4 linked regions of the Oryctolagus cuniculus genome follow. The protein of the gene in region 4 purifies or fractionates together with the protein of the main gene of each other region. This does not show direct contact. Links are inferred from orthologs where the notes say so. Each region holds a gene or a part of one and is shown on either strand. Other genes may lie near its edges.

Region 1 (6,947 bases), about 33 Mb from region 4:
TGTCACATAGACACGGTCTGTTTCATTCTACTATAATTAAAGTGGACATCCAAAATTTTAGTTTAGGTTGTTTCATAAAGAATAGAGAATTCTCAGCTTTTTAAGGGGTACCTATTCTTTCCTAGCGTTACTTTTTAAGGATCTCTTTCAGTTAAAAGTAATAGTAAGATAAAGTACATTTCATTGACTGTTAACATTTTATAAGTAATATCAAGTGATGCTATAAATTTTTAATGGTGCCTACCAAGGGTGTCCATATAATTTATCACCCGGCCAGGGCATGGTCATGTTATGGAAAGTATATGCATTCAGTTAAAAGCACAGTCCTCAGTTAAATTATGCCCAGGAAATGGTATTCTGGAAGTTAGTAAGCATGGTATTCATAGTTTTATCAGCAGCTAAAAGACTTAAAACCAAGAAGTGATAGTCAAATGGTGCTGTAATTTTCTTTTATGAGGTGCATATCTGTACCTTCTAATTTTTTCCATCTTAAATGTTTTGTTCAGGCTTACAACGGGTTACATGTGCCATACTAAGAAGGGAATTTTTCCCTGTCATTTAGGAGGAAAATTTTGCAGCCTCTTTGAAAGGCACATTTCTGTTACTGAGAGGATTGAGACTTAATGAGAGAGGAGGACTGTGTTTACATATATTAAGCCCTTTTTTGTTGTAAAGATAAGGGCTTTTTAAAAATACTTCTCTAAATTAAGTAGATAAATGTGTTGAGGTAAGCTCAGGTATATATGTTACATATCTGTGTTTTTCCTCAGGTGCATGAGTACCTCAGAAGTAAGCTTTGTTCACTGTATGAAAATGACTGCATATTTGACAAATTTGAATGTTGTTGGAATGGATCTGACAGGTAATTGCTTTTAATTTAAACTTAGAGAAAAGGGGTTTATTATTGCATTCTTCCTGGTATGGTTGCCAGTCACAAAAAATAGGGCTTTTTCTTTGAGACTTATTTATTTGAAAAGCAGAGAGGGAAAGATTTTTCATTCACTTTTTTACTTCCCAGTGACCACAACAGCTAGGAAAGGGCTAGGCTGAAACCAGGAGCCTACAGCTCCGTCCCAGTCCCCCACATGGATGTCCGGGACCCAAGCACTTGGACCATCTTCTGTCTCCTTCCCAGGCTTGTTTGTGAGGAGCTGAATTGGAAGTGAAGGAGTCTAAACTTGACCTCACACTTCAGTGTGGGATATGGCCATCTCAAGCAGTGGTTTAATCTACTTTGCTGCAACACCTACTCCCGGCTGACTTTTTTTTAGGTTGACATAAATTAAAAGTCCTAACTTCATTTTTTCCTTCGAGATTCCTTGAAATAAATTTAATAATCTTAGTTTAGTATAGCAATACTGGTCCATAAAAGTGAAGCATTCTTTCACTAGCAGATAGGAGAATATGTAGAATTTATAGATTTTTAAGAATGTTTTAAGGACCAGATAAATCACATTGACATACCAACAATTTATTTTTTATTTTTATTTATTTATTTTTTTTTGACAGGCAGAGTGGATAGTGAGAGAGAGAGAGACAGAGAGAAAGGTCTTCCTTTTGCCGTTGGTTCACCCTCCAATGGCCTTCGCGACCAGCGCGCTGCGGCCGGCACACCGCGCTGATCCGATGGCAGGAGCCAGGAGCCAGGTGCTTTTCCTGGTCTCCCCATGGGGTGCAGGGCCCAAGCACCTGGGCCATCCTCCACTGCACTCCCTGGCCACAGCAGAGAGCTGGCCTGGAAGAGGGGCAACCGGGACAGAATCCGGCGCCCCGACCGGGACTAGAACCCGGTGTGCCGGCGCCGCTAGGCGGAGGATTAGCCTAGTGAGCCGCGGCGCCGGCCGACATACCAACAATTTAAATGGTGAAATTTTGGTTCAGTTACTATCCTATTGTTGAACTATTCTTAAAATATTTGGGCAGCAGATATATTTCACTTGTGTTACTATGCACCAGTTTTTGTAGATTTTTTTTTTAATATTTTTTTTACTTATTTAAGAGGTATAGTTACAGGTTCAGGAGCCCAAGTGCTTGGGCCATCTCTCTCTCTCTCTCTCTCTCTCTCTCTCTTTTTCTTTTTTAAGATTTATTAATTTATTTGAAAGAGTTACAGGCAGAGAGAGAAAGAAATCCTCCATCCACTGGTTCACTCTCCAGATGGCCACATTGGCCGGAGCTGCACCAGTCCGCAGCCAGGAGCTTCCTCTGGGTCTCCCACATGGGTGCAGTGGCCCAAGGACTTGGACCACTTTCCACTGTTTTCCCAGGCCATAGCAGAGAGCTGGATCAGAAGTGGAGCAGCTGGGACTCAAACTGGCATCCATGAGGGATGTCAGCGCTGCAGGTGACAGCTTTACCCACTATGTCACAACACTGGTCCCTGGGCCATCTTCTACTGCTTTCCCAGGCCTTAGCAGAGAGCTGGATTGGAAGAGGAGCACCCAGGACTAGATCGGTACCAGCTGCAGGCAGAGGATTAAACTACTGCACCACAGCACTGGTCCTCGGTTTTTCTAGATATTGACACCTTATGGAAGTAGTAATAAGTCTTTCTTTCAGTCTTTTAAATGTCAACATGTACCACTTACTATGTTCCGATAAAAAATAGTAAAAGAAAGCAGCATTTTGGAGTTCTTTTAAAACTACATTTAAAGTAGAGATGCTTACTTTATACAGTAGATTCATCCTGGTTTCATGATGTTATGTGTTCTAGAGGATATTAAAACTTGAAACATTTAACTTTTAAAAGTTTCAGCCATACATTGGTTCGGTTGCTCCTCTTCTGATCCAGCTGCCTGCTAACAGCCTGGGAAAGTGATGGAGGACGCGGCCCGGGTGCTTGAGCCCCTGCCCTCTCGTGGGAGACCTGGAGGAGGCTCTGACTATTGGCATCAGATTGGCCCAACTCTGACTGTTGCAGCCATTTGGGGAGGAAACCAGCGGATGAAAGAACCTCTGTCTCTCCCTCTCACTGTCTATAACTCTGCCTTTTAAATAAATAAATATTTTCTTAAAAAAAAAATGTTTCAGCGATAGACTAGGCATCCTAATCAAAACCTTACAGATTTACATAGTGAATCATTTTTAAGAAAATAAGAGTTTATTGTATGTAGGGACGTGTACCAATTTGAGTTTGGTTAAAAATTGTCTGTTGAGTAGATGAAAATCATTTGTTTTTAATAGATAACTTGTGTACATAATATACATAGTACAATAGTGATTTGAGCCATGTGGAAAGGAGATAGTAAATGGTAGTAGTACCAGTCAGGCCCTTCCTGAGTTATTAATGATTTTATTTTTGTCAAATTTGGTTGATGAGGCTGTTTTGTAAATATTGAGCAAATAAGACTGACAAGAAAGTGTCTTGGGCAGGCTAGGAATTTGGCACCCTTTTCAACTCACACTTATAAAAATACTTACTTAAAATGTTCTTAGTGGTACAAATTATTTTCTGTTAAAAAATATTACATGCTACTTTCTTAATAGTCTCAGGAATAGATTTTATTATAAGCATTCATAAAATGTGATTATCTGAACCAGGCCTTGGGACAAATTAAATAGCTTATAGTTTAAATTAGAAAGAATTAGTTTCTCCCTTCCTTCCTTTATTCATTTGAAAGTCTGAGCCACAAAGAGGGAGAGGCAGAGACAGGAAGAGAGAACTTTGTTGGTTCACTCCCCAATTGGCCACAGTGGCCAGGGCTGGGCCAATCTGAAGCCAGGAGCTTCATCCCGGTCTCCCACGTGTGTGCAAGGGCCCAAGGACTTGGGTCATCTTCCGCTGCCTTCCCAGGCTCATGAGCAGGGAACAGAAGTGGAGCAGCCGGGACTCGAAGTAGCACCCAAATGGGATGCTGGTACTCTGTGTGGCAGTTTTACCTGCTTTGCCAGAGCACTAGCCCCAGCATTGGTTTCTTAACAGCTGTTTCATGCAGTTTGGTTTTAGAATTGCATAGATGTTGCCTACAGCTGCAGAAAATGCAATCATGACAATTCACTTCTAAGACATTTTATTTGAGGGTACTGTTCAATTTTCTCTTGATAGTTTTGGTAGTCGTCTAAAGGAGTAATTGATAAAAAAAAAAAAAAAGTAAAATATCTCAGGTGTATTCCAGTCATTGAGTTGGTGTCAGCAGTCTTGTCTGTTAAAATCTGCTTTAAGTAGCTGTTTTCTGTGTAGTATCACGCTAGGTTTAATTGTTCTGCTAAAAACAATCTCTTGTTCCTTTGTTTGACTGAATGTTCTGTCTATTTTTACAGTGTTGTCATGACTGGATCTTATAATAATTTCTTCAGAATGTTTGACAGGAACACAAAACGAGACATAACCCTAGAAGCATCACGGGAAAACAATAAGCCTCGCACAGTGTTGAAGCCACGGAAAGTCTGTGCGAGTGGCAAGCGAAAGAAAGATGAAATAAGCGTTGACAGCCTAGACTTCAACAAGAAAATCCTTCATACAGCCTGGCACCCCAAGGAAAATATCATTGCTGTAGCTACCACAAACAATCTGTATATATTTCAAGACAAAGTGAATTAGTGTTGGCATTCCTAGCAGAGGAGCCCACTTCCTGCTTAGTTGAGATAGTTGAAATCTAGCATTCGTACCTATAAAAGAGAGAGGTCCATTGTGGTGCCCCTTTCCAGTGTTTGACAGTGTGCCATTTGACAACACATTTTTATATAGCTACATGGAGAAAGCTCTGTGGATTCATCACTGTGGTGTTCTCCATGTCTGCTAGCCATTTAGGTAAGGGTAGGGCACTTTTAATTTAAATGACTTCTTGCACCATCTTGCCTAATGGACTAGATTGGACTGTATCAACATTGATTTACTCCACTTTTTATGCCTTCCATTGTGATGATGTCAAACACAGTGAAAGCCTTCAGTCATGCTATGGGATTTAATTGTGTATCCTCATTACTGTATCATTGTGGGGTACACCCCTCCCTCCCCCTTTTTTAAATTAAATACAGCTCATTCTTACTGTGGCTTGTAGCATTCCTCCTCTCTGGCCTCCTGGACTCTTCCCCCTCATCTCTTTTACCTTTGCCCCCTCCACCCGACTTGGTGGTGGTATATTAAAAAAAGAACGAAAGCACACAAAATGAGTCAGTTTGGGGTTTAGTGGTAAAGGGGGTGTATGTTGCGAACAAATGTTTTAATAACAGTTGGCTGTAATCACTCCTTGCCATGTCTGGCACTGAAAATAAGGAAAAAAAAAACTACTACTGAATAAAAGTGACAAAGAATGGAGAATCTGGTTTTCTTTTTCTTTTTAATCTACCTCTTTAAGCCAGTATTTTGTGACATACCCTTTTGGACACCGTGAAATGAAATGGGTTTCCATTATTTTATTAGTATTTTTGTTAATTATTTTTATCAAGTGTTCTTTTACATGGAAAAGGAGGGGTATTGGTTCTGTATGAACATGTTTTAAATATATGTTGGTATTATTAAGGTTTTCATAATCTATAAATGCTACTAGAGACTTTTTACTGTAGTTATGAGGGTATTGGATACATTGTATCAACACTTAACTCATCTGTTAAATTGTTGTAAATGGGATCCAAATTTGTAGAACTTCATTTTAAAATGACTTTTTACAGTGCTTTGATTTTTTTGCCTTACTAAATACTAAGTCAAAGACTAAAATGTTTTTAACAAAAACTTTTTTGTCATTCAGTCTTACAGCATAACATTAACATCAAATGATCTAATACAAATTGACACTGCACTACTTTTTTTGTATTTTATTACTATCAAAGCAGAATGAAATGTACTTTACCATAGATATTTTCCTTCTATTTTTGATTTTCCAAAGCTGTATTAAAGACAAAATTTTAAAGGTACAGTGTTAAAAAAAACTGCTTACTGGACTCCCCACAGCTGGCCCTATAAATAAAATTTGGTAATCTGTGTATGACTACATTTTCCCTAAGTGGTGATACCTTATCCAAAGATGAAGAGTGTCCCTATTTTTAATAGGTGGAATATACCTTTGTCAGTCTTGAAGAGCTTTAATGGAGAAAAAATGGACTTTATTTTTAAAAGATGCATTGAGCAGGCATTTATATTATTAGAGAATGGTAGTATATTTTGGTTGAGCAATAATATAACAACCTTGAATTTTAGAGGACTGAATGCTTCTTATATGTCCACTACCTATTGTTCAGATGCAAATTTGATTAAATATTTCATCATAATTCCCTCTACACTTATATAAATATTATGTCTTGTAAGTTAACATTTTTAGCACGCAGTAGAAATTTTATGTAATAAAATTACTGTCTCTGGGACTTAGCAAGTCTGAATTTGTATTTAAACACTGATTATTATATGTCTGATAATTTTTAACAGCACTTTTTCTAATTTATTTTGGGATCATTGGTATATTCATAGTTTGTGCTATTTATTCTTCATACTAACTTGTAAGTGGAATATTCCCCTGCCAGAAGTATCAAGTAGTGATACTGTGTTTTCTGATGGAGCAACTCTCCAGAACATCTGTTTTGGTCGTGGTTTCCCTACACTTGGGTTGTATGCTTGATATAACATAACTGAATAGCTCTTGGAAATTTATTTTTGATTGATCAGTAGCTAAGATAATTCTCACCCATTACACTAAGGGATAGTTTTATATATTTGAGTGAAATGCTTCTATAAGGTATGCTATTATAAATTGTAACATTAAGTATTCATTTTCAAATTTCTTTGGTGTAGCAAACTACGAGCCCAGCCACTCATTTTATATGGTCATGGTTAATCTTTTTATTAATAAAAATTATACTTAGAATGAACTTAGTCTTGTCAAGTTGCTTGTATTTCCTGTTCTCTTGTCACTAATAAACATTTTCTGTCCTTTCTTAACCTTTTTAAAAGATTATGATAGGAAAGAGAAGTCTCATTCTGTTAATCTCTATGATCTTTACTTAGTGGCTGGGCA
Region 2 (7,120 bases), on a different chromosome or scaffold from region 4:
AGGGCGTGGCAAGGGCGTGGCAAGGGCACGCCTCGGGCTCCGCGCCGGGCGGGGCTGCAGGGAAGCCGCAGGTTACTGCAGGTCACCCGGCGGACCGGGCGGCCACTGCGCAGGCGCTTCTCGACGTACCGGAAGTGACGCTTGTGTCGCGGAGACAGGTTCAAGGGAGAGCTGAGCAAATAGCGTAGGTGAACTGGCCGGGATTTGGGTCCGGCAGCCGCTATGAGCTGCACCATCGAGAAGATTCTGACGGACGCCAAGACGCTGCTAGAGAGGCTGCGGGAGCACGATGCGGCCGCCGAGTCGCTGGTGGATCAGTCGGCGGCGCTGCACCGGCGAGTGGCTGCTATGCGGGAGGCGGGGACAGCGCTTCCGGACCAGGTCAGGCGGAGGGTAGCGGACCAGGGCCCTGGGGTTCTGGGCGCTTGAGGAGTGGAGAGCGAGGTGACGGGGGACCTCGGCCCGCAGTTTATCCCTGGTCTCAGGGCGGCAGGAAGACCTTTCTGCAGGGTAGGGGCTGGTGATCCTGCCCTGGCGCTCTGACTCCTGCCTCTTCAGCTGCGTCTGCCCCAGTTCTGTTTACAGTGCGCTTAGGCTGTCTCTGTTTGTGCAGTATCAAGAGGATGCATCCGATGTGAAGGATATGTCCAAATACAAACCCCACATTCTGCTGTCCCAAGAAAACACACAGATTAGAGACTTACAGCAGGAAAACAGAGGTGAGTCAGGCCTTTGTGTGGTTAGGATTGTTTCACGTCTGGGAGTGGCGAAACTACCCTAAATGTATTTTCAGGTCAGTACTTTTACTAGGAAAGTTACCGTGTGCTGGCCCAGTAAGAAGCTTGTTAGATTACCCGTTCCAAGGTTTGTTTTTATAAGCAGCTTATCAAAGAGACGCTTGCTTGAATTGAATTATTGCATGGCTTTTTTAGGTACCCCCAGATGGAGGCTTGCATGACGACACTGTATATCCTTAAGGGCTTAAAGTTGAATGTTTAGATATTAACGTAATGAACCCTGATGTTAAGTTCGAAGGTTTTGTATATGTTCTTACACATGATGGAAGAGTGGAATTCTATCCTCAGAATATATATTTGCATTCTTAGGTTGATGAGTGCATTATTAACGACGTTAATAGTACTAGTTGTACAGCGCTTTACAGGGGGCTTTCGTATATGTTATTACCCTGTAGTCTCCTGTCTTCATTTTGAGGTAGGCAAGCCAGGTATTTATACAGTGCCTTTAAGAAACAGGCTCAGAGAAGTTAAATGAGTTACTTATGAGTGGTAAGCAAGTAAGGCACAGAACTGAACTCAAGCCGGTGTTTTTCTGATTACACACCCCCATGTTGTTTCTGCCAAACTGCTGCCTCTACCTAGAAAGTTATTTTTCATGTAGACTTTAGCTGTTCAGTTTGCTACAACTTTGGGTTCACAGTATCATGGAGTGTCATCGAATTCCACCTATCAATAGTTAGCCTTTGGGATCTGTCTCACAGCCTTCACTGTTCAGTTATTTTGTTTTGTATCTGTTTGGTAGAGCTCTGGGTTTCCCTGGAAGAACACCAGGATGCTTTGGAACTCATCATGAGCAAGTACCGGAAACAGATGCTACAGTTAATGGTCGCTAAAAAGGCAGTGGATGCTGAACCGGTCCTGAAAGCTCACCAGTCTCACTCTGCAGTAAGAAACTTGGATGCTAAATTCTAAATGAACTGAATGAAAATCTTGAGATTGTTTTAGATCATGTCCATTTTTTTAAAAAATAAAAGGCAGGTTTATTACATTCAGTGTTTATTTGCTGTGGCTTTGTAAAGCTGTGAATAGAAGGGCATGAGTGGCTCCTGAGATCCTTTAATTTGAGTGGGGCTAACGTCCCTCCATCCTTCGCTAAGATCTGTTTTTAAGATGTTAATGAATGCTTAGCTTTTCCAGCAATTTCAGGTAGTGCTGAAGGTGGTGCCCACAGTGGCAGAGTGGGTAAAGCGGCCGCCTGCAGTGCAGCATCCCATATGGGTACTGGTTTGGGTGCCGGCTACTCCACTTCCAATTCAGCTCCCTGAGCAGTAGAGGATGGCCCAAGTGCTTGAGCCCCTGCACCCACATGGGAGACCCAGAAGAATTTCCTGGCTTCTGGCTTTGGATCAGTGCAGCTCTGATCATTGAAGTTCATGGAGAGTACATATTATTTAAAAAACTGAATGAATTTCAAAACTGCACCAAAAGAAACTAACTGCTTAATTCTAGTTTACATGAACTTTTTGAGGTATCTTCATGGTTGGTTGAGTATTACTTGCACATACCAAACTATAAATTCCCTAATTGTAAGGAATATGAATTCATTTAATTCCTAACGTAGTACCTGGCACATAACAAACAGTCAGTAAATCTTTATCAAAATGAACAAAGTAGCATTATATTGTGTTACTAGACAAGACAAGTATGGTTTAAAAAACAAAAACCTGGCCCAGTTCTACACTTGGCTGGGAATGATGTAAGTTGAGAGGCCAGTAATTGGTGTTGTGTTCATTGAGTGCTTCATAGTTGTCATTATACAATCACATGTACTATTACTGAATCCTGGACAATAGATTGGAGCCTCACTAATTGCTGCAGTGGAAGATACAGTTCATCTCAGATCCTTTTGGATGCATTTTATTGATTTATTTTCATTTTATTTGAAAGGCAGAGACAGAAGGTCTCACATCCACTAATTTAATGCCCACAATAGCAGACCTGGGCCAAGCTGAAGCCAGAAACCTGGAACTCAGTCTGGATCTCCCATGTGCATGTGGGTGAAAGAGACCCAACTACCTGAGCTGTTCCTCTGCTGCCCCCAGGATGCACATTAGCAGGAAGCTGGACCAGAGGCCGAAGAGCTAGGACTTGAAACCAGGCACTCCGAAATGGGATGCAGGCATCCCATACAGCATCTTAACTGCTGTACTTGGATTCCCACCAAAGGGATATTTTAAATACTCGATTCCTTTCATATGAAAAATAAAAATAAATGTTATTTACTGTGGTTCAGAAGGAAAAATATGAACCTTCAGGGAGACAAAGTTTAGCTCATTCAGAAATACTTTCTAAGCAATATGACCGGATAAAGACACCTTGGTCTGTGGTAAGCTTCTTGCCAGTAAAAGTCTTCAAATTTAATTGAAAAATGGCCACCTGATGATATCGTCCAACATTTAGTTGTTCTTAGACTTTTGGATTCATGGGGCAGGCGTTTAGCCTGGCAGTTAAGATATCCTTGTCCCATGGAGTATTTGGGGTCTGTGTGCCTGCCTCCAGTTCCTGATTCCAGCTTCCTGCTAATGCAGACCGGGGGAGGCAGTGGTGATGGCTCAAGTAATTGGGATTTTGCCACCCACTTTGTATACCTGGATGGCATTCCTAGCTCCCAGCTTCAACCCAATCCAGTCCAAGCTGTTGCAGATACTGGGGAATGAACCAGCAAATCAGCGAGAAGTGTACTCCCTCTCTCTCTTTACCTCTAAAGTAAACAAATTTCCTTTTAAAAATTCTTTAAAATAAAAAAATTTTTTGTGAATGCCATAAGCTCACTCTATTATGACTTTACTTTCCATGACTCAGATTATAGTGTAACTACATTGTAACTTGTATAATATAGAAAAAATGAACTTTTAAAAATCATAATAATGTGTTCTCATGCACTTCATATCTGTAGAATGACTTTTTTCCCCCCTCTTAATTTCTCTACAGGAAATTGAGAGTCAGATTGACAGAATCTGTGAAATGGGAGAAGTGATGAGGAAAGCAGTTCAGGTAGATGATGACCAGTTCTGTAAGATTCAGGAAAAGCTAGCCCAATTAGAGGTAAGATTGCTGCCATTTTTAGTTCATGATATTTCACAGTTTTCATAGTCTGGAATATATGCCATCACTACCTTATCACTGTAATATATTGATATTTTCTGTTTTCTTACGACTTAAAACTCTTCATATCGTTTTAAGAAAGACAGTGTTGGCTGGCGCTATGGCTCAATAGGCTAATCCTCTGCCTGCGGCGCCGGCACACCGGGTTCTAGTCCCGGTCAGGGCACCGGATTCTGTCCCGGTTGTCCCTCTTCCAGGCCAGCTCTCTGCTGTGGCCTGGGAGTGTAGAGGAGGATGGCCCAACTTCTTGGGCCCTGCACCTGCATGGAGACCAGGAGAAGCACCTGGCTCCTGGCTTCGGATCAGCACCGTGTGCTGGCCGCAGCAGCCATTGGAGGGTGAACCAACGGCAAAGGAAGACCTTTCTCTCTCTCTCTCTCTCTCACTGTCCACTCTGCCTGTCCAAAAAAAAAAAAAAAAAAAAAGGCAGTGTTGTAATAAACAGCATTCTGTGAAACTACCAACCAAGAATTGCCTAGAGGTTGAGATACTATGAGAGTAGAGAAAGTGAAAGGAATAGGTTATATGAGCCAGTATTCCCCATCTGCCACAGGAGGAAGTCATATGAGTAATACCTAAAGTTGATGACTAGGAAATACAAGTGTAGGCAGATTATTTAGAATTAAGGAAGAAAAGACATAAAGTGGTACTGCTTTTAAGGAACAAAGCCAAGGAACTGCTATTTATTTTATCAGCCTCACATTCTTGATTTACAAAAAAGGGGGCAGAGTTAGAGAGGGGGAGAGAGAGAGAGAGAGAAGTCTCCCATCTGCTGGTTCACTCCCCAAATGGCCACAGTGGCTGGGGCTGGGCCAAGCCAAAGTCAAGAGCTTCTTGTGGGTCTCCAAGGACTTGGGCCATGTTCCACTTGTTTTCCCAGGTCATTAGCAAGGAACTGGATTGGAAGTGGAACAGCCAGAACTTAAACCAGCACCTATATGAGATGCCAGCACTGCAGGCGGAGGCTTAACCCGCTGCAACACCATGCCGGCCCCAAAGTCTTGATTTTTTAAAAGCTATTTTTGTGTAATATTTTTATTAAAATAGAAATATACAAAAAAGGCCTGGATTATTAGTGTACCCCATAAAAAAAATTGTTTTTTTGACAGGCAGAGTGGACAGTGAGAGAGAGAGACAGAGAGAAAGGTCTTGCTTTGCCATTGGTTCACCCTCCAATGGCCGCCGCAGCAGGCGCACCACACTGATCCGATGGCAGCAGCCAGGCGCTTCTCCTGGTCTCCCATGGGGTGCAGGGCCCAAGGACTTGGGCCATCCTCCACTGCACTCCCTGGCCACGGCAGAGAGCTGGCCTGGAAGAGGGGCAACCGGGACAGAATCCGGCGCCTCGACCGGGACTAGAACCTGGTGTGCCGTCGCCGCAAGGTGGAGGATTAGCCTAGTGAGCCGCGGCGCCGGCCTCCCATAAAAATATTAAGGAAAAACATTTTGGTAGGTGGTTTGTGTCCTACTTATTATAAGTTGTTATAATGGGCTTTTGAGAAAAACCAGAGAGCTGGACTGGCACAGTGGTGCAGTGGGTTAAGTCACTGCCTATGACACTGGCTATCTCTTTTGGGTACTGGTTCAAGTCTCGGCTGCTCCACTTCTCCTGCAGCTCCCTTCTAATGCACCTGATAAAGCTGCGAAAGGTGGCCCACGTACTTGTGCACCTGCTCCCATGAGGGAGACCTGGAAAAGGCTCCTGGCTTCAGCCCAACCCAGTTCTGGCTGCTGTGGCCATTTGGGGAATGAACCAAATGATTGATAAATAAATAAATATTTAAATTAAAAAAGAAAAACAGAAGGAAGGAAAAGAAAAAGAACTGCCAGAGAGAAAAAGAGTTCTCTGCCCAGCACCCAGCAGGAAGAATAAGACTAGAAGTGAAGTGATATGAAATGAGAGCAAGTGCTGGGAGAGGGATGGAAGTCCCGGGGAAGCACTTGGAATGGTGGAAGGTGTGTTGCCCGTGGGCTCTGACCCCTTGGCGAGGCTGAAGAAGTGCGGTGTCTCAGTGTCCTGTAGAGAGAGTGAAGATGAAGAGTGTAAGCTCTGTTTGGGAATCAAAGGGAGTGGCAAGTCCTAAGAAGGACTTCGTGGCTAGCTAAATAACAAATCACCCTTGTCTGCACTATTCCTGGTTTACCTCAGTTATGGATACAGTCCTAAGGAAATGTGGGACCAGTTTTACTTACTATTTTAAGAAAGAAAAAAAAAATGGTCATTGGACACAGATGTCAGCAATACCACATCCAGGTGACCTGGATTTGGACAAGTTTTTGGAGTTTTACGAACTACAGCATCTTTATCTTGAGTAGAATACGGATGTCAGCAAAGAGACCTCCCTTACAGAGTGCTGTAAGATGGCATACATAATGAACCTGGCAGGTACCTCCCTGCATGCTCAAGCACTAGTTCCCTGCCACCTTTCTCCTCTCATTTTCTAAAACTGTGGGAGAGCTGGAAGGAGAGAGTGAAAAGATTATTAGAAATTGAAAATTGAAGAAACAGTAGTTAAAACGCGTGGGAACCATGAAGGGTATGGCAAATGGTAAATTCCTCAAGGGACTTTGTGTTTTTTCTTCTTTGCAGTTTTAGTACTCAGTAAATGTTAAATTAATAAGTAGTCTTTTAGGAAAGTCTCAGCGTGTGTGTGTGTGTGTGTGTGTGTGTGTTTTGAATTTCCTTATAACCTTAAAATGAAAATAAGTTTTCTTTTCCTGGCCCAAACCAATCTGTCCTGATGCAATTTGGCAGTACAAATCCTGGAAATAAACATGTATCTGTTCTCTTTTTTTTTTTCAGCTTGAAAACAAGGAACTACGAGAATTATTGTCTATCAGCAGCGAGTCACTTCAGGTCAGAAAGGAGAATTCAGTGGACACTGCTTCCCAAGCCATCAAATAACTGAACTTCTGAATGATGGCTGGAAATTGTCTTATCAAGGAAGGAAGTTGCTGTCTTTCCATTGGAGTATTGTCCATTCAGTATCTTGCCTCAGACTTGATTTAAACTTCCCACGTGACAGTTTAGAGTACCAGTTAATATTGGCTGTCCACAAAACAGTTTTAGGTGTATTGGTGAGAATACACAGTGAATTTCACCATTCCTTTCTGCAGGAAACTACTTCTGATTTTCATCCTGGGACCTTCATTTTCTATAAGCTCTGTTTTCAGTTCATTTTTGTTTTCCACATCTCTAGAACTTCAAGCATTTTATT
Region 3 (7,666 bases), on a different chromosome or scaffold from region 4:
ATAAGGCTCCAAGAACAATCGTGGAAGAGGAAACACTTTCACAGAAAACAACAGGTCTTGAGCACCTGAGGCAACCGCAGGAAGATTCCTGAGCATCTCCTACAGGCAAGAAAGTCCCGGGTTGGAAGACTTCCTGGAAATTCAGCCTGTAGCCCAGTAGCCTGAGGCACAGAGAACTCAACGGGTGCCACACCTCTGGATGTCATGGACACAGATGCCTGGCCCATGGCCTTCCTCGGCTGCCCTCTGCTGGCCAAGCACACACTGTGTGCACTTACTGGCCTGAGTCTTTCCTTTGCTCACAGAGCTCCCTAGTCCACAGCTTCTGCCAGTACTTCCCCCATCTTAAGCCACCTCTCAGTATGTAGTCAAAGAGAATGTCGATGGAGGGTGAGCGATTCAAGAGATGGTCCCTAAGGGTTCCAGGGTGGCCTGTCCATGCTGTACTCCCTTTCAAGCTTATGATTAGGAACTGGGAAAGCCCACTCCCCACCCCAAGCCAGCCGCATGAGCAGCCCTGAGGCAGAGGCCTGGCCCGCTGGTGTGTTAAAAATGCCCCAGGAGCTCCCATGTTCAAAGAGAGTTGACTACTGAAAGGTTCAAGTTCAAGTGCAGTGGGCTTGCAGGGTAAGGAGCTACCTGCCACCGGTACATCTAAAGGAGGTACAGGTCATCTGACCCAAGCAGAGCGGGACAGATGGGCAAGAAAAGTCAGTAACTCATCCGTGAGGCCAGACTCAAAGCCACCGCAAGCTGCCCACCTGCCACCTGCCACCTGCCGCTGCTTTGGTTCAGCTTCTGTTTTCACAGAACCAAACAGCACATACAGATGCCCACGGCGGCCATCTCCAGTCTCTTCAAAGATAAACAGTGCAGGACGGAGCGAGTAACAGACAAGGAGAATTTCCTCCTTTCCACAAGGCCCACAAGGCCCACAAGGGAAGTATAAATGAGGAAGACAAAGGTAAACTGACAGGATTGGACAGAGTTCAAGAAGGGGCCAAGAAATATCTGTCTACCTAATACAAACACAAAACCTCAAAAACAGGTTAAAATGACCTGCTGCATCTTGTTTTCATGCCTGCATGGGGGAGTTAGTAACCAGAGGTACATGCAGAATTGCTTGTCATTAAGGAAAGTAAAAAATAAAAATCAGAGGACCTTGGCTGTAACCCTGTGTTGTTAGAATGATGGTCCCCTAATGACTTCTACATGCTCATCTACAGAACCTGTAAATGCTACTGCCTTATATGACACAAGGGACCTTGCAGATGTAAGTTAGGAGTTCTGAGATGGGGAGATTATGATCTTGGATGGTTGGGGAGGCAGAGTGGAAAGGACATGTGCCCACAGAAGCAGAGGTGTGAGTGATGCCACTGCTATAAAGGGGCCCTGAGCCAAGGCCTGCAGACATCCTCGCCTAGAGCTTCCAGAAGCACACGCCCTGCTGACAACTCAACACGAGCCCAGCAAACTCCATTTCAGACTTCTGACTTCAACAACCACCGGATAAGAAATCTGTATTTTTTGAGCCAGTAACATGTTACAGTACAAACAGGAAACTAACACGTCACACTTGTTAAAGGTTCCAGGGATGATCCTGAGTCGCTATTCCAGGTGGACCACTGGACTAGAACCTGCCAAGAGCTTCAGAGAAGAAAACATAAAGAAAAGAACCCCTGTTCACTGGGAGATGCACATCCCATGGGATGCAACAAGCCAACTTCCCGGCGTCTGCCCTGAACGTGTTCTCATGGAACTCCCTGACGTGTATAGAGATGCTCACACAGTTGCAGCCTTACAATCAAAAGGGTCCCCTTGGGGGAGGGGCTAGAGGGTTGGGTCTCTGCCTGTAGTGCAGCATCCTGTATGGGCACCAGCTCCAGTCCCAGCTGTGCCTCCTCTGATCCAGCTCCCTGCTAATGTGCCTGGGAAAGCAGTAGAAGATGGCCCAAGTACTTAGGCCCCTGCACCCACATGAGAGACCAGGAAGAGGCTCCTGGCTTCTAGTTTCAGCCTGGCCCAGACCTAGTTGTTGTGCCCATTTGGGAAGTCATTCAGCGGATGGAAAATCTCGTTTTGTTTTTTTAAAGTTCCTTGGGAGAAGCCTGGTTAAGCTGCAGTGAATCTGCAGAATCAAATACCCTGGAGCCTTTACAGTGAGGACCGAGGCACTGAGGCCATTCTGTGACTAGCGGCTGGGCAGAAAAACCTACAAGGCTTATATGAAAATAGAAAGGTGCAAATAGTATCAATACTGCACTACTATTTGCATAAAAGAATTTTATACACATACACAGAATACATCCTGGAGAATACAGTAAAACCAGGCACTTGTGGGCAAACTGGGTGGCTGAAGATAGAGATGAGAGGGAGACTTCTTTTTTTCACTATGAAGCTTGCACCATACGAGCGGGGAGTAGCCAACAAGCAGAAACAGGAGAGAGCCAAGAAAATGCACAGGGACTTATCAAACATTGAGAAATCTAGCTCCTTTGCTTTCCAATTCAACATCTTGGCCTTTTCCGAAAGATGTGAGTATAAATTTCCGAAGCGTTTATTCTTCAAATACCACGAACAAATGTCAGCCCAGGCTAACTGTGGTAAGGAAGTTAAGGAAGGTAAACACTCTGTCCCCTCTGCCTTAATATCCCACAGTGCGCTGAGGTCTCCTGTGCTACCTTTGTTAGCACGATCCTAGAGATGAATGCAGGGGAAGGAAGTTAAAAATACTGCCTGTGATTCTGGGCCACACTGAAATCATCTGAATTATTGTCTGGAAGCATTCTAGCCTGCTTACCCTCCCCTATTACAATACCTTAAAAAAAAACTATCATGGGATGATGATTCTACATAATCAAGTATAAAACACATGGACTTGATAAAAGCAACTTCAGCAGTGACTATTGGTAATGCCGCGTTATCTTGCAAACAGGTTACTGCCACAGAGAGCTAACAGCTCTGAAGGCGGGGGCTGTGGAAGCAGAGGCTACGTACGCTGAAGCTGGGCTGCTCTCAGTTGCTTCTTGAGCCGTTCCACTTCGTTCTTTAAAAACCTGATGTGACGCATCATGTTTTCTGGAGAATCAATTTCCATGGAGATATCTCTAGGCGACGGGGGTGCAGAGACGGGCTGGTCTAGTTTCTCCTGCAGGATTCTTCATTGAAAAGACAGAGACCGACAATGAGAGACAGTTTGCTTTTAAAAGACAAAGTGACATACTAGGTGGAGGGCTTGTTTTAAAGGCAAGTTCCTGCTCATCATCAAGAGTCCATACGGCTACTTCACTCTCCTGTCCATTTGCCATCAACTTCTGGTCACCCTTTCCTGGTATCTCAGGGCTCAGGGCGGAGCTGTAGGATCTACTCTCTGCTGCAGCTGGAAATGACCACTGGGTATAAGTACTCGTGGTGAAGTCTCTATTTAACATCTGGTTCTGCTTATTAAGCCCGGATACAGGAGGCCCTCAGAAATATCGGCTGACTACATAGTCAACATGCTGGGTGTCAGTTATGGGAATACTAAATACTAAATTCTGCTCTCCTAATATTTTCAGCTGAAATTTTTGAGCTATTATGAATCTCCTTAGAGGGTGAATTAACAAAAATAAACTCAACTTCTAAAATTTCTTCCTGAAGGGGCCGGCGCCATGGCTCAGTTGGTTAATCCTCCACCTGCGGTGCCGGCATCCCATACAGGCACCAGGTTCTAGTCCTGGCTGCTCCTCTTCCAGTCCAGCTCTCTGCTGTGGCCCGGGAGGGCAGCGGAGAATGGCCCAAGTACTTGGGCCCCTGCACCCTGGAGACCAGGAGGAAGCACCTGGCTCCTGGCTTCAGATCAGCGCAGCACCAGCCGTAGAGGCCATTTCGGGGGTGAACCAACAGAAGGAAGACCTTTCTCTACTCTCTATCTATAACTATGCTGGTTAAAAAAAATTAAAAAATTTCTTCCTGCAAAAACCATCACAAGCACATGGCAAAATGGCCTGGGGACCCTTTGCTTCTGTCCACAGTAAAAGTAAAAATCTAAAAACAAAATTAAAACTGGGGTCTGAACATTGTGGTGCAATGGGTTAAGCCACTGCTTAGGATCTTTGCATCTCCTATCAGAGTGCCTGGTTCAAGTCCCAGCTACCCTGCCTCCGACCCAGCTTCCTGCTAATGCTCCTGGGAAGGCAGCAGATGATGGCTCAAGTACCCGAGTCCTTGTCACCTACATGGGAGACTCACATGGAAAGTCAGGCTCTTGTCTGTGGCCTAGCCCAGCCTTGGCTATTGTGAGCATTTGGGGAACCATCATATGGAAGATCAATCTCTCTCTCTCTCTCTCTCTCTGTCTCCCTCCAGCCCCCTCTGAGCTTTCAAATAAAAACAAACAGCAACAACAACAACAAAACAGACCCTGGGGCTGGCATAACGGGTAAAGCCACTACCTGCAGTGCTGGCATCCCATATGGGTGCCAGTTCAAGTTCTGGCTGCTCTACCCATCCAGCTTCCTGCTGATGCGCCTTAGGAAGGCAGTAGAAGACAGCTCAAGCCTTTGGTCCCCTGCACCCTCGTAGGAGACCTGGAAGAAGCTTCTGGCTTCAGATTGGCCCAGCTCTGGCTGTTGCAGCCATCTGGGGAATAAACCAGCAAATGGAAGATTTCTAACTCTGCCTTTCAAATAAATTAACTAAAAAAAAAAAAAAAAAAAGGAAAAAAAAGAAAAACACCACAAACTGACCCAAAATTATTTGACTAATAACAGGTGATACCACCTTCTCCAATCATTGTTAGGCTGAAGCATGTAACTTGCTGATATTCAATAGCTTTTTTAATCTGAAAGACAAAGACAGGCAGAAACAGATCTCCTCTACTACAACCAGGGTTGTCTAGGAGGAAGCCAAGAAGCTAAAACTCAATTTGGGTCTCTCATGTGGGTAGCAGGGACCCAAACAGTTGAGTCCTCACCTGCTCCCTCCTAGGGTGGAGCCTGGACTCAAACCAGGCACTCTTATATGGGATGCAGGTGTCCCAAGTGGGATCTGAAGCAGTGTGCCAAATGCCCAACCCTGTTTTCCCCAGGAGCTTCTGACCCGTGAAGTGACAACCTAACTGTCACTGAGCCCCGATTTCATTCTATAAGGAGTTTCTGGTTTTCTTTTATTAATTTTTTAAAGTTTATTTTTCTGTATTTGAGAGAGTGAGAGAGAGATCTTTTACCTGCTGGTTCACCCCCCAGATGCAAAGACCACAATAACCAAGACTGGGCCAGTCTGAGGCCAGGAGCCAGGAGCCAGAGCCCGGAGCCAGTCTTACACGTGGGTGGCAGGGACACAGGTACTTCAGCCATCATCTCTTACCTCTGATGGTGCACATTAGCCAGAAGCTGGAGTGGAAGTAGAGCTGGAACTAGAACCTAGGCACTCCAATACAGGATGCAGGGGGCCCAAGCAGCGGCTTGACCACTACACCACAATGCCTGCCCTGTGCTTTTATTTTTAGATTTTTAGCTTTGAGTTTACCCAAATACACACTGCAAATTATCTCTTCCCTTACTGAGAAAACTAATGCGTCAAATATTTTAATTGTCTCTACGTTTTTATAAATTAAAATAACTTCACTACAATTTTATTTTATAAAATAAAATAACTTCACTACAATATAAAATATAGCTGATTCAATTATAGCTTAATTATTTCCTGGAGATATACTTCTGATTTTCACTTTGTTTAAAGCTATGTGATATAATCTGTGATTTTCAAATTTAGAGATGTACTCCAAATAATTTATAAATGTGCATCCAAACCAAATACGTAAGGCAGAGTCCAGGAAGTAAACAAAAAGACCTGGGTGAAGTGGACTCAGGAACACTCCCAAGAAACGCACTCTTCACACCCATACACTCACCCCACAACCAGAGCATTCCTTCCAGCCTTACAGGCTCTGTCCTACCCCCCCCCCCACCTCCAAAGTATACAGTGCTGGAAAAAAGGGCAAGGCACTGCACTGCACCAGGGGTGCAAGACATGCAACTGCCGGGTGACATTTCACATCCGAATAATCGTCACCTTAAATATGTGCAGGTATCTCATTACCGATTATAACACAAATAGGTAGCATTTTTTTCCATTAGAAGCTCAGCTTTCCGAATGAGGTAAATTCTAGAGTTGTGCTAACAACCAACAGTACATCGTCCATCCTATGTACTTCAGGAAGCAACAGAGGGCTCAGCGTTGTGGCACCGCAGGTTACCCTGCTGCTTCTGACACCAGCATCCCACACTGAGTGCCAGTCTGAGCCCTTGGATGGTCCACTCCCAATCCAACTTCCTGCTAACGCATCTGGGAAGACAGCAGATGATGGCCCCAATACTTGGGTCTCTGCCATTCACAAGGAGACCCAGATGGAGTTCACGGCTCCTGACCTTGGCCTGGCTGATCCCTTGCTGCTGCAGCCATTTGGGGAATAAACCAGCAGACAGAAGATATCACATCCTCTGTCTCTCAAATAAATAAACCTTTTTAAACACAGTGGAGAAAGGCATTTCAATAATGTGGAAAGCTGAAAACGCAACTATCCTACGTACAATTTACAAGAGCAGTAGGACTATCCCAATGCAGCCCTGGAATGCCTGAGAAAAACGCATTCTACAGGGACAGTAAGGGAGCAAAGAATAAAGGGAAGACGAACATGAGAACATTTCAAGGTTCAACATGTGCTTCCTTGGCAAATCAAAATGCTGTGTTTCACCCACGGGACTCGGGTGTCCCATGGTCATTCCTCCGTCACACCCAGAACAGCTCTTAGACACACACGGAACAGAAGACTACACAAACCGCTTCTCTGCTTCAAGTTTATCCATCCTTTTCCAGAGACGATTCACTAGTGCTTCCTGTTCTTGTTCCAAGGTATTTTCAAGGTCAATCTTCTCCCGTCTCAACTAAGGGAAGAAAAAAGATTTCACTGAGCATGGCAGGCCGTCTCAACGTTGTTCATACTTACCTGTTGTCCGGGACAGAAATCACATTGCTAGTTTCAGCACGCACTCGAGGCACACGCCAAGTCCTCCTCATACAGCGTCTGGGTGAGCTCTGTGTACGAGACACCAGGATGTACCCGGGTTTGTCCCCTAGTCCCTCTGAAAGGTTATGCTGCCACTTATATAAATAACTCAGAAGCCTTCAAATAACTCTATACTGGAAAAGCAATGCAAATACAGAGAAAAATACATAAAAATGCACGAAAATGATAGATATCAAGTTCACAATACTGATTATCTGCGAGGACTTAGAGAAGGCAATTTGATTTGGGGAAGGGGCTGTACTAGGGAGGGAACCCCTCACTGTATTCTATGTCCTAAAATAAACATGGGAAAATTCATTTACTCAATCAGTACTGAGTAACCTGCAATAAACACTGAATACGACGACAGACATGGGATAAAAGGTATGTAGCAATGAACTTGACTCAGAAATTTCTGCCCTCATGAAACTTCATTTTAGTGTGTGTGTGGTGGGGGGGTCAAGCTATTAAATGACTGGTGGGCTTTTGGCACAGTGGTTAAGCAGCAGCCTTTTGGGGACACCCGTGTCTTATACCTGAGTGCCTCATACCAGTCCTGGCTTCCTGTCTTGAGTCAGCTTCCTGCTGAGGTACACCCTGAGTGGCAGCAAGCAATGG
Region 4 (8,313 bases):
AGCAGATGGAAGACCTCTCTCTCTCTCTCTGCCTCTGCCTCTCTATAATTCTGCCTTTCAAATAAATAAATACATCTTTAAAAAGATTTTAAAAATACACCCTAATATGTGCGTACATATGTAAAAACAAAGAACAAAGAAAACAAAGAATTCTAGTTTCCATTTTTATTGACTGATTTTCATCTGCGTGAAAGGCAGAGTGACAGAGAGAGAGAGAGAGAGATAGAGAGAGAGAGAGAGAGAGAGAGAGAGAGAGAGAGAAAGTATCTTCCATCACTGGCTCATTCCCCAAATGCCTGCAATTAGCAAGGGCTGGCCCTAGTCCTAGCCGGGAACCAGGAACTACACCCAGGTCTCATACCTCCCAGGATGCTGGATCAGAATTGGAGTGGCTGAGACTCGAACCAGCACTCAAATATAGAATGCAGGGTGTTCCACACAGTGCCTTAGCCCACTGAGCCACAGTGCCCATTCCTCTAGCTTCTGGTTTTAATTATGATGACTTCACAAAGGAAAGAGTGAAAACTGATGTGGCAAAGATCAAGCCTTTGTCACTCTGCCACCCTTGGCTTTTCTTGCTCCCGCCCATACTAAAGAGGCCATTTTTAAGCATGGACGTGGATGTCAGACTGACAGACACGGTGTCAAGTCTACTCCACCAGTACTGTTTGTGTGACTTGAACACGTTTTCATACCTTTGCATGTTGGTTCTCTTATCTATCAAATGCAGGATAGCAACACCTGCCTCACAGGCTTATTGGAGTATTTAAATGAGAACATACATATTAAATACACAGTATATAGAAAGTGCTCCAGGGGCCAACGCTGTGGCATAGCAAGTAAAGCCACCGCCTGCAGTGCCGGCATCCCATGTGGGTGCTGGTTCGAGTCCCGGCTGCTCCACTTCTGATCCAGCTCTCTGCTGTGGCCTGGGAAAGCAGTCGAAAATTTCCCAAGTGCTTGGGCCCCTGCACCCTCGTGGGAGACCCAGAGGAAGTTCCTGACTCCTGGCTTCAGATATGTGCAGCTCTGGCTGTTGTGGCCATCTAAGGAGTAAACCAATGGATGGAAGATCACTCTCTCTCTCTCTCTCTCTCTCTTCTCTCTCTCTCTCTCTCTCTCTCTCTCTCTCTGCTTCTGCCTCTCTGGGACTCTGCCTTTCAAATAAATAAATAATCTTAAAAAAAGAAAAATGCTCCAAAAAAGCATCCTGATTTATTCTTCAGCACTATTTGATTAAACATTCTGGAAGTATTATTTTCACAAGTTCACCTAAGCACCCCCCCAACTCCAAGAACATTGTCGCAGATTAATTCCAAACACACTTGCTTCTATTTCACCCATCTTCCTCTCTAACCACCATCTATAGTTTCCATTTCTCTTCAGGGTACATTTTCTGTTCTCAGCCCATCTACTGTAGGAATTCCAGAAATATTCTCAGTCTGCTTTTCAGGTTTAGGTGAACTTCAGCCTCCGGAGAGCGAGCAATGTCTACTACGATTGTCCAGGTACCCCACCTTTCCAGCATCTGCTCATCGCTCCATTGGTTTGCTACCTTTTACAAGTTGCTTGAAAGCAAGAACCCTTCCAGCCTCATTTCCCACCATGTGACCTATTTGTGTTGCTGGGAGTATTTACAGCTTTGCAGACAGACAGTGGTCTTGGGTACATCTGTCCTCTGGTACACACACACACACAGATTCCTTAAAACTTCTTTCCTGTTCTCCAGGCAGCTTCAGGGTTTTGCGGAGGGGGGGGGGGGGATTGGAGGAGGATAAGTTTCAAAATTCAGGTTGGGAGTGGGCATTTGGTATAGCAATTAAGCCCCCCACCTTGGTATGCTACAGCCCATATCAGAGTGCCTGTGTTCAGTACCAACCTCCTAGTAATGCACACTAGGAGGCAGCAAGTGATGGCTCAAGTACTTGGGCCCCTGACACCCATGTGGGAGACCCAGATTGAGTTCCTGTCTTATGGCTTGTTATGTGGCCCAGCTCTGGCCGTTTGAGGGCATTTGGGGAGAAAACCAACAGATGGGTTCTCTCTTAACATTCAGAGCAGGCATTGTGGTGTAGCGGGTTAAAGCTGTTGCCTACAATGCTAGCATTCCATCAGGGAGCCAGTTGGTGTCCCGGCTGCTCCACTTCCAATCCAGCTTCCTGCTCATGAACCTGGGGAAAGCAGCAGCAGATGGCCCAAGCGCTTGGGCCCCTTCCACCCATGTGGGAGACCCAGATGTAGTGCCTGGCTCCTGGCTTCAGCCTGGCCTAGTGCCAGCTATTGTGGCCAGCTAGGAGTGAACCAGTGGGTGGAAGATCTCTCTCTACCTTTCCAACTTTTTCAAAATAAATAAATGCTTTTTAATAATTCAGTTCAAAATGCTCCCATTCTAAAGCTCTTTGAAAGTGTTCCCCAGGACAGTAAAAACAACAGACACATGGCTCCCATGGTGTACCACGGGACAGGCACTTTCAACCTCTGACTCTCAGAGCCTGAGAAGGGAAGCTGATGCTTGAGGAGGTGTGGCGACTGCCAGGTCAGGAACACTTGCCCTCTCACCCAGGATGCCGCCTCCCTCTGGGGTTCCGCCCAGCACTGCGAATCTCTAAGGGAAGAAGTGTGGGTGGTTAGCATGTGCCGGACAAGGTGCCTGGCCAGCAGCCGGCAGCCGGCACCAAGAGCGTGTTGACCAAATCATTACACCTCGGTAAACACTGCTGGAGCTGGAAACGACCCAGACGATCGCACAAAACAATCATTTCATCTTCCCGATATTGCAAGCGAGCGTTCGAGACACCCGGCTAGAAGAAATTTATTCTGTAAATAATTGAATGCCTGCTTCGGAAGAGTGCCTGACGCTGGGGAGAATAAAATTCCTTGTCCAGAGCGGCGGAAACGCACTGCGGGAGCTTAAGGTGAACACGAAGTTGCCCTAGGACAAGATGTTGGGGAAGAAATCAGGGGAGCCAAGACCAGGCTGGGAGGAAAAGACCAGAGAAAGCAAGAGGACCGGACAGGCGCCCCCGACCCCGGGTCCCCAGGGCCGTTTCTCCGCCGAGCCACGCGAGGGCGCTGCTCCGCTCCTCGCCGGCCGTGCCCCGGCGGCGCCGCCCGCTCGCCTCTTCCCGGCGGAAATGCCCGGGCGATGACGGAAACCCTCAGGGAGGGGAGAGAAAGGGCGAGAGGGTAGGGGCTACGGAGCCGGGAGAGGGCGGCGGGCGGCGGCAGCGGTCGCGGGCGGCCATCGCCCGGCGGGAGCTGCGTCCAGAGCGTCCTCGCCGCGCTCCCCCACCCCCCCCCCGACCCCGACCCTTCCGCTTCCCCCACAGACTCCCTGGGCGGGGACGGACGCGGGGTGCCCTCGGGGAGCCGCCCGCTGGACTTGAGCCGGGTGCGGGGCCCGCGGCCACCCTCCCCAGCTCCTTCCTGTCCCGCTCGGGGCTTGGCGGCGGCGGCGGCGGCGGGTGAGGGGAGCGGCGCCCGGGGCGGGGGCGGGGGCGGGGGCGGGTGGGGGAGGGGAGCGGGCCGCCATGGACGACAAGACGTTCACCAAGGAGCTGGACCAGTGGGTCGAGCAGCTGAACGAGTGTAAGCAGCTCAACGAGAACCAAGTGCGGACGCTGTGCGAGAAGGTGAGGGCCGGCCGGGGAGGAACGCGGGGCGCTGGGCGGCGGCGGCGGCTCCCCTGCCCGGCCTGGCCGCGGCTCCGCGCCGGCCCCCGACGCCGCAGTCGGCTCGGGGCAGTGCCCGCGCCCCCGCGCTGCCGACTCGGGTGTCCGCCGGGAACGGGCGTGACGGCCCGAGAGGGACCCGACCCCGCGTCGTCGGGGTCGGCCAACTTGCTCCCGCGCGCCGGAGCGGTGGGCGTGATGGCAGACGGTGGCTTTTTTAAAATAGAGGTGCGCGCAGATGGCGCCCCGCACGGCGCGCGTGGATTGGCGGCACCCGCGCCGCGAGGCCGGAGCTCGGGGACAGTTCGTGGAAAATGCCTATAAGGATTAAAGACTGCTCGTGGATTTAAAAATCGGTTTTTTACACCAAAAAAAAAAAATTTCTTAAAGTCCCGTCCTGTGAGTTGTCATGCAGGGTGGCACTTTTCAGAAAGTTGTTTCCAGTCCCCAAACGGGGGTAAACCCTGCAGGCAGTGCATTGTTGTCAGGTGTCTGGTCTTAGCTTTCTGAATTCGGAAGCCATTGTTTTGTGAACCCGTGGAATTCTCACCTGTGCAGGTGGTGTACTTGAGAGCCTCCAGTTGTTCTTCATTCATCATTTGCGCTGTGGACTAATTAGTTTTCATGTATTCGTATGTTGGAAAGTCCCCTTGGAAGTCCACGAGGTACTGGAGTAAGGAGGTTATTTTAGGTTATTTTCTTAAATGTGTTTGAAAGCCCGCATACCTCAGAAAAGCACTGAGGAAGTAATTTTTTAAGCCTTATTAGTAGGGCACTTTTAAAAAAAAGACAGATTTATTTATTTGAAAGGCAAAGTTACAGAGAGGAAGAGAGAGATCTCTCATCTGCTGGTTCACTCGCCAAATGGTGGGGGCCCTGCCCGAGCCAGGAGCCGCCTCCAGGTTTCCCACGCTGGTGCATATTAGCAAGGAGCTGGATCAGAAGTGGAGCAGCCAGGACTCAACCAGCCTCAGTCATCAAGTAAAGATGTCACCCGTTACATCACAGCACAGGCCCCAGTAGGGCACTTTTTAAATTATGCAACTAAAGGATGGAGGGGTAGCCACTGTTTTTAACAAGTGCCCAGGGAGCTTACATATTGAATAACTACATGTTATTATTTCTGCAGATAAAAGTGAATTTGAATTTATTTCTGCAGATAGAAGTGCCACAGAAATGGTATATTTCTCTTCCTGAAGCAAACTGCTTGCTTGTACCTTCATTCCACATTTGTGTGTGTGTGTGTGTGTGTGTGTGAAAACCTGTGATTTCATGGGTCTTACAATTTACGCTTTACTAAACTCTCAAGCTCCAGCATCAAGTTTGAGTAATTAGCTGAATTGGTTAACCTCCCTGTGAACGTCAGATACAGACTTGAAGTTATGACTAAAGTGGTAGTTGAATCAGTTTTTCTTTTTGACTTTCTAATAATTTTAATTTCCTAGAGGAGACTATTTTACCAGTACATTGATAATTGCACTCAAATCTTAAATCATGCCAGGAAACTGTGTATTTATCGAGAGATTATTTTTACTTCACCTCCTAAATAAGTTGAACTACCTAGGATCTTACAGCTATAGTTTACTTACGCGTTGACCTGTTCTATCTTTGATTGTAGTTATCCACAAAATGTGAAGCTCAAGTGAAGATCGCCTTGCATTTGTGTTTGTGCTCTGTGCACTTTGATAGAGTTGCCAGTGGAGCAGAGTGCCAGTAGTTCAGCAGCTCTCAGTGTAGCCGCCTTGTTCTGGCAACTATGGCTTACTTTTGTGGCATATGTGGTGCCTCCGTATCTGTGCTGGATTGGTCCAGGTCCTATAAGAATACCAAAAGTCCCCATGCTCAAGTCCCTTTTATAAAATGTGCAGTGTTTGCATGTAATGTACATACCTCCTCTTGTGTATATATATATATATATATATATTTTTTTTTTTTTTGACAGAGTTAGAGAGAGAAAGGTCTTCCTTCCGTTGGTTCACTCCCTAAATGGCTGCTACGGCCGGCACTGCGCCGATCCAAAGCCAGGAGCCAGGAGCTTCTTCCTGGTCTCCCACGCGGGTGCAGGCGCCCAAGCACTTGGGCCATCCTCCACTGCCCTCCCGGGCCACAGCAGAGAGCTGGACTGGAAGAGGAACAACCGGGACTAGAACCCGGCGCCCATATTGGATGCTGGTGCCGCAGGTGGAGGATTAGCCAAGTGAGCCACGGCGCTGGTCCCTCTTGTATATTTTTAATCATCTCTAAGTTGTAACACCTGATATGAAAATATTATGTAAATGGTTTTTATACTGTGTTTTTAGAGAATAAGAAATAGAATGTCTGTGTTCAGTACAGAGGCAGTTTTTCCCCCATATCATAATTTCTGGTTGGTTGAATCTGAGGATATATCTCTATGGATATAGAGTACCAACTAGGTACTAACCTAGGGTCTACCTGTAGTCCTTAGTTCTGGTTTTATATCCCTACCTCATGCTTGTTGTTAATAACAGGTGTAGCGTTCCACCCGTCTGGATTCAAATTGTGCTCCACTTGCTAGCTGCCCATCTGGCACCTTTGACTTCTTACCTGCCAGGCAGGGATCATATTCACTGATCTCTTGAACTGATTATATTAAGATGGTGCCCGTGTGTGGGGCCGACATTGAGACATAGAGGGTTTAAGCTGCCTCTTGTGAAGCTGGCATCCATATCAGCACTGGTTCCACAGGGCTTCTGGCTTGGGCTTGGCCCATCCTTGATGGTTGCAGCCATTCAGAGAGTGAACTAGTGGATGGGAGCCATCTCTCTCTCTCTCTCTCACTCACTCACTCTGCCTTTCAAATAAATAATTTTTTTTTAAATAAGTACCCCATGTGACGTCCTGACAAAAAGTAAAAGTCAGTGAGTGTTAAATGAGGGAAAGCTAAAAATGTGGATCTTGTGTTAAATGCCTTATCATTTTCTTTAGGAAATAAGTGCAAAATAAATAGATACCACTTCTGTGGTGAATCAAAGGGGAATGTATGTACAGTGGCTATAGGACCCTGAAAATTAGTGTCCTCGTTATCTGAAGCACAAAATTCTGAGATGAGTGTCATCTTTAATTCCTTGCAACTAGATTTTAGTTTAACTTTTTATTACTTTTTTATTCTATTGGAAATACTATATAGGAAGTTACACTCTATGGTGATGGTTTTTCAGTTAGGATTAATTTCCTTTTCTAAATCAGATTGCCTTAAAACAAGGAGTCAGCTGACCTCAAGACCAAAGGAGTACTAGTAAAGGCCTATTGTGGGGTAGTGGAAGAAAGAAAATCCATTGTAGTGCCAGTGGGCAAATGACCACAAAAAATAGTGGGATAGTGTGGTGTGTCTGCATCTGAGGTTACTTCCTGTGTAGTAAAACACTGCATAAAATAGTAAGGCATATCTTCTGAGAAGACTAGCTAGTAACACCTAATTAGTAAGCCAGCTTTGGAAGCTGATCGTGAATTTGACATCCCTAATGTCTGCAGAGAAATTGGGTGTGTGATTCATTGTTGTCACAGCAGTATGCACAGGAATTTTACAACTGATCTGGTGCTGTTAAGGACATTCTGTGATGAGAACTGTATCTAACTGTTGTGTCCAGAAGAGTAAAAGTTTAAAAATAAAAGAGTAAAAAGTCTTAGGCTCTTTGTCCTGGTAAATGCTATGACTGAAGAACCCTGATTATGATTCTCTAGGTGGGCAGGGAAAATGAGCTAGTTTGTGTGCTGGCAGATCTAATTATAAAAGCTGCTGAGGAAAACATTGAGGCTTGTGCAGGAGATGAATATGGACTGATGGATATGTTTCTGGGTTCTGGCCTTGAAATAAGTGAAAATACCTTCAGCATGTTACTTCGTTCTTAATGTGAAATGGTATACTTAAATTCCTGAATGCCCAAAACCATCTTAATGAAAAATGAACTGGTAAAAATGAACTGGTTTTGTTAGTCGAGAAAAATCTTTTAGGTTATTCTTTGTGATAGGTTCAGCTTAAGAACAATAATGATCTTGAAAAAGCCTAATCAGTACTTTCATTTTTAATTTTCCCTCTAACAAAGATTAATGCCAGCCTTGGTGGTCCATTGACAAAGTCTGAAATGCAGTGATGTAGAAAACAGCTCCTTTCTTTCTATAACAAAGAATGCCATGATTGCAGTGGAATACAAGGTTGAGACCCAGTTCTACTGACTGAACAAAATGATTTCATGCTATCTAAGCCAACTGCTTTAGCAGACAGGTTAAGATACTAATCCAGACTAGACTGACATTAAGTATTGCTAATGACTAGGAAACAGACTTTGTTAAATCACCTCATTTCTGGACCATGTGTGATGTGTAAAATCATGCACATAGGTCGATAAACTAAAGATGTGTATATTTTAAAGTTTCTTTTTATTTAAGTTTTATTTGTCATATATACTTTTCATTGTAATACAAAGATTCTGCAGAAAATTTTCTTTCGGCCTTTTCTTCAGGACAAATGCTATGAATAACTTGGCAAATGAAGTTCTTTGACAGAAAACCAAAATGCCAGAAATTGAAGACAAAACTAGTGCTCATAGGCCGGCACCGCAGCTCACTAGGCTAATCCTCCGCCTTGCGGCGCCGGCACACCGGGTTCTAGTACCGGTCGGGA

Evidence for each region. Proteins that work in one complex are often made in the same cells at the same time.
Region 1: the proteins of PPP2CB (region 4) and PPP2R2A purify together in Homo sapiens (affinity purification with mass spectrometry; 8 studies listed by BioGRID and IntAct, counting the BioPlex papers as one, with this or other methods). This does not show direct contact. The link is inferred for Oryctolagus cuniculus from reciprocal best matches to the Homo sapiens genes PPP2CB and PPP2R2A.
Region 2: the proteins of PPP2CB (region 4) and SIKE1 purify together in Homo sapiens (affinity purification with mass spectrometry; 3 studies listed by BioGRID and IntAct, counting the BioPlex papers as one, with this or other methods). This does not show direct contact. The link is inferred for Oryctolagus cuniculus from reciprocal best matches to the Homo sapiens genes PPP2CB and SIKE1.
Region 3: the proteins of PPP2CB (region 4) and CCDC6 purify together in Homo sapiens (affinity purification with mass spectrometry; 3 studies listed by BioGRID and IntAct, counting the BioPlex papers as one, with this or other methods). This does not show direct contact. The link is inferred for Oryctolagus cuniculus from reciprocal best matches to the Homo sapiens genes PPP2CB and CCDC6.

What each region holds. Positions count from the first base shown.
Region 1 is NC_091433.1:47,869,451-47,876,397, reverse strand, and holds the end of PPP2R2A (serine/threonine-protein phosphatase 2A 55 kDa regulatory subunit B alpha isoform), read left to right. Parts: intron 1-770; coding exon 771-862; intron 863-4,260; coding exon 4,261-4,540; 3' UTR 4,541-4,895; downstream 4,896-6,947. UniProt on the Homo sapiens protein: Substrate-recognition subunit of protein phosphatase 2A (PP2A) that plays a key role in cell cycle by controlling mitosis entry and exit. Involved in chromosome clustering during late mitosis by mediating dephosphorylation of MKI67.
Region 2 is NC_091438.1:55,564,184-55,571,303, forward strand, and holds part of SIKE1 (suppressor of IKBKE 1), read left to right. Parts: 5' UTR 1-222; coding exon 223-381; intron 382-613; coding exon 614-719; intron 720-1,539; coding exon 1,540-1,682; intron 1,683-3,728; coding exon 3,729-3,842; intron 3,843-6,705; coding exon 6,706-6,807; 3' UTR 6,808-7,120.
Region 3 is NC_091446.1:52,195,249-52,202,914, forward strand, and holds part of CCDC6 (coiled-coil domain-containing protein 6), read right to left. Parts: exon of another isoform or gene 6,927-7,666; coding exon 6,823-6,926; exon of another isoform or gene 3,458-6,822; intron 3,159-3,457; coding exon 2,998-3,158; intron 1-2,997.
Region 4 is NC_091433.1:80,850,024-80,858,336, reverse strand, and holds the start of PPP2CB (serine/threonine-protein phosphatase 2A catalytic subunit beta isoform), read left to right. Parts: upstream 1-3,527; 5' UTR 3,528-3,530; coding exon 3,531-3,632; intron 3,633-4,290; exon of another isoform or gene 4,291-4,305; coding exon of another isoform or gene 4,306-4,344; intron 4,345-8,313.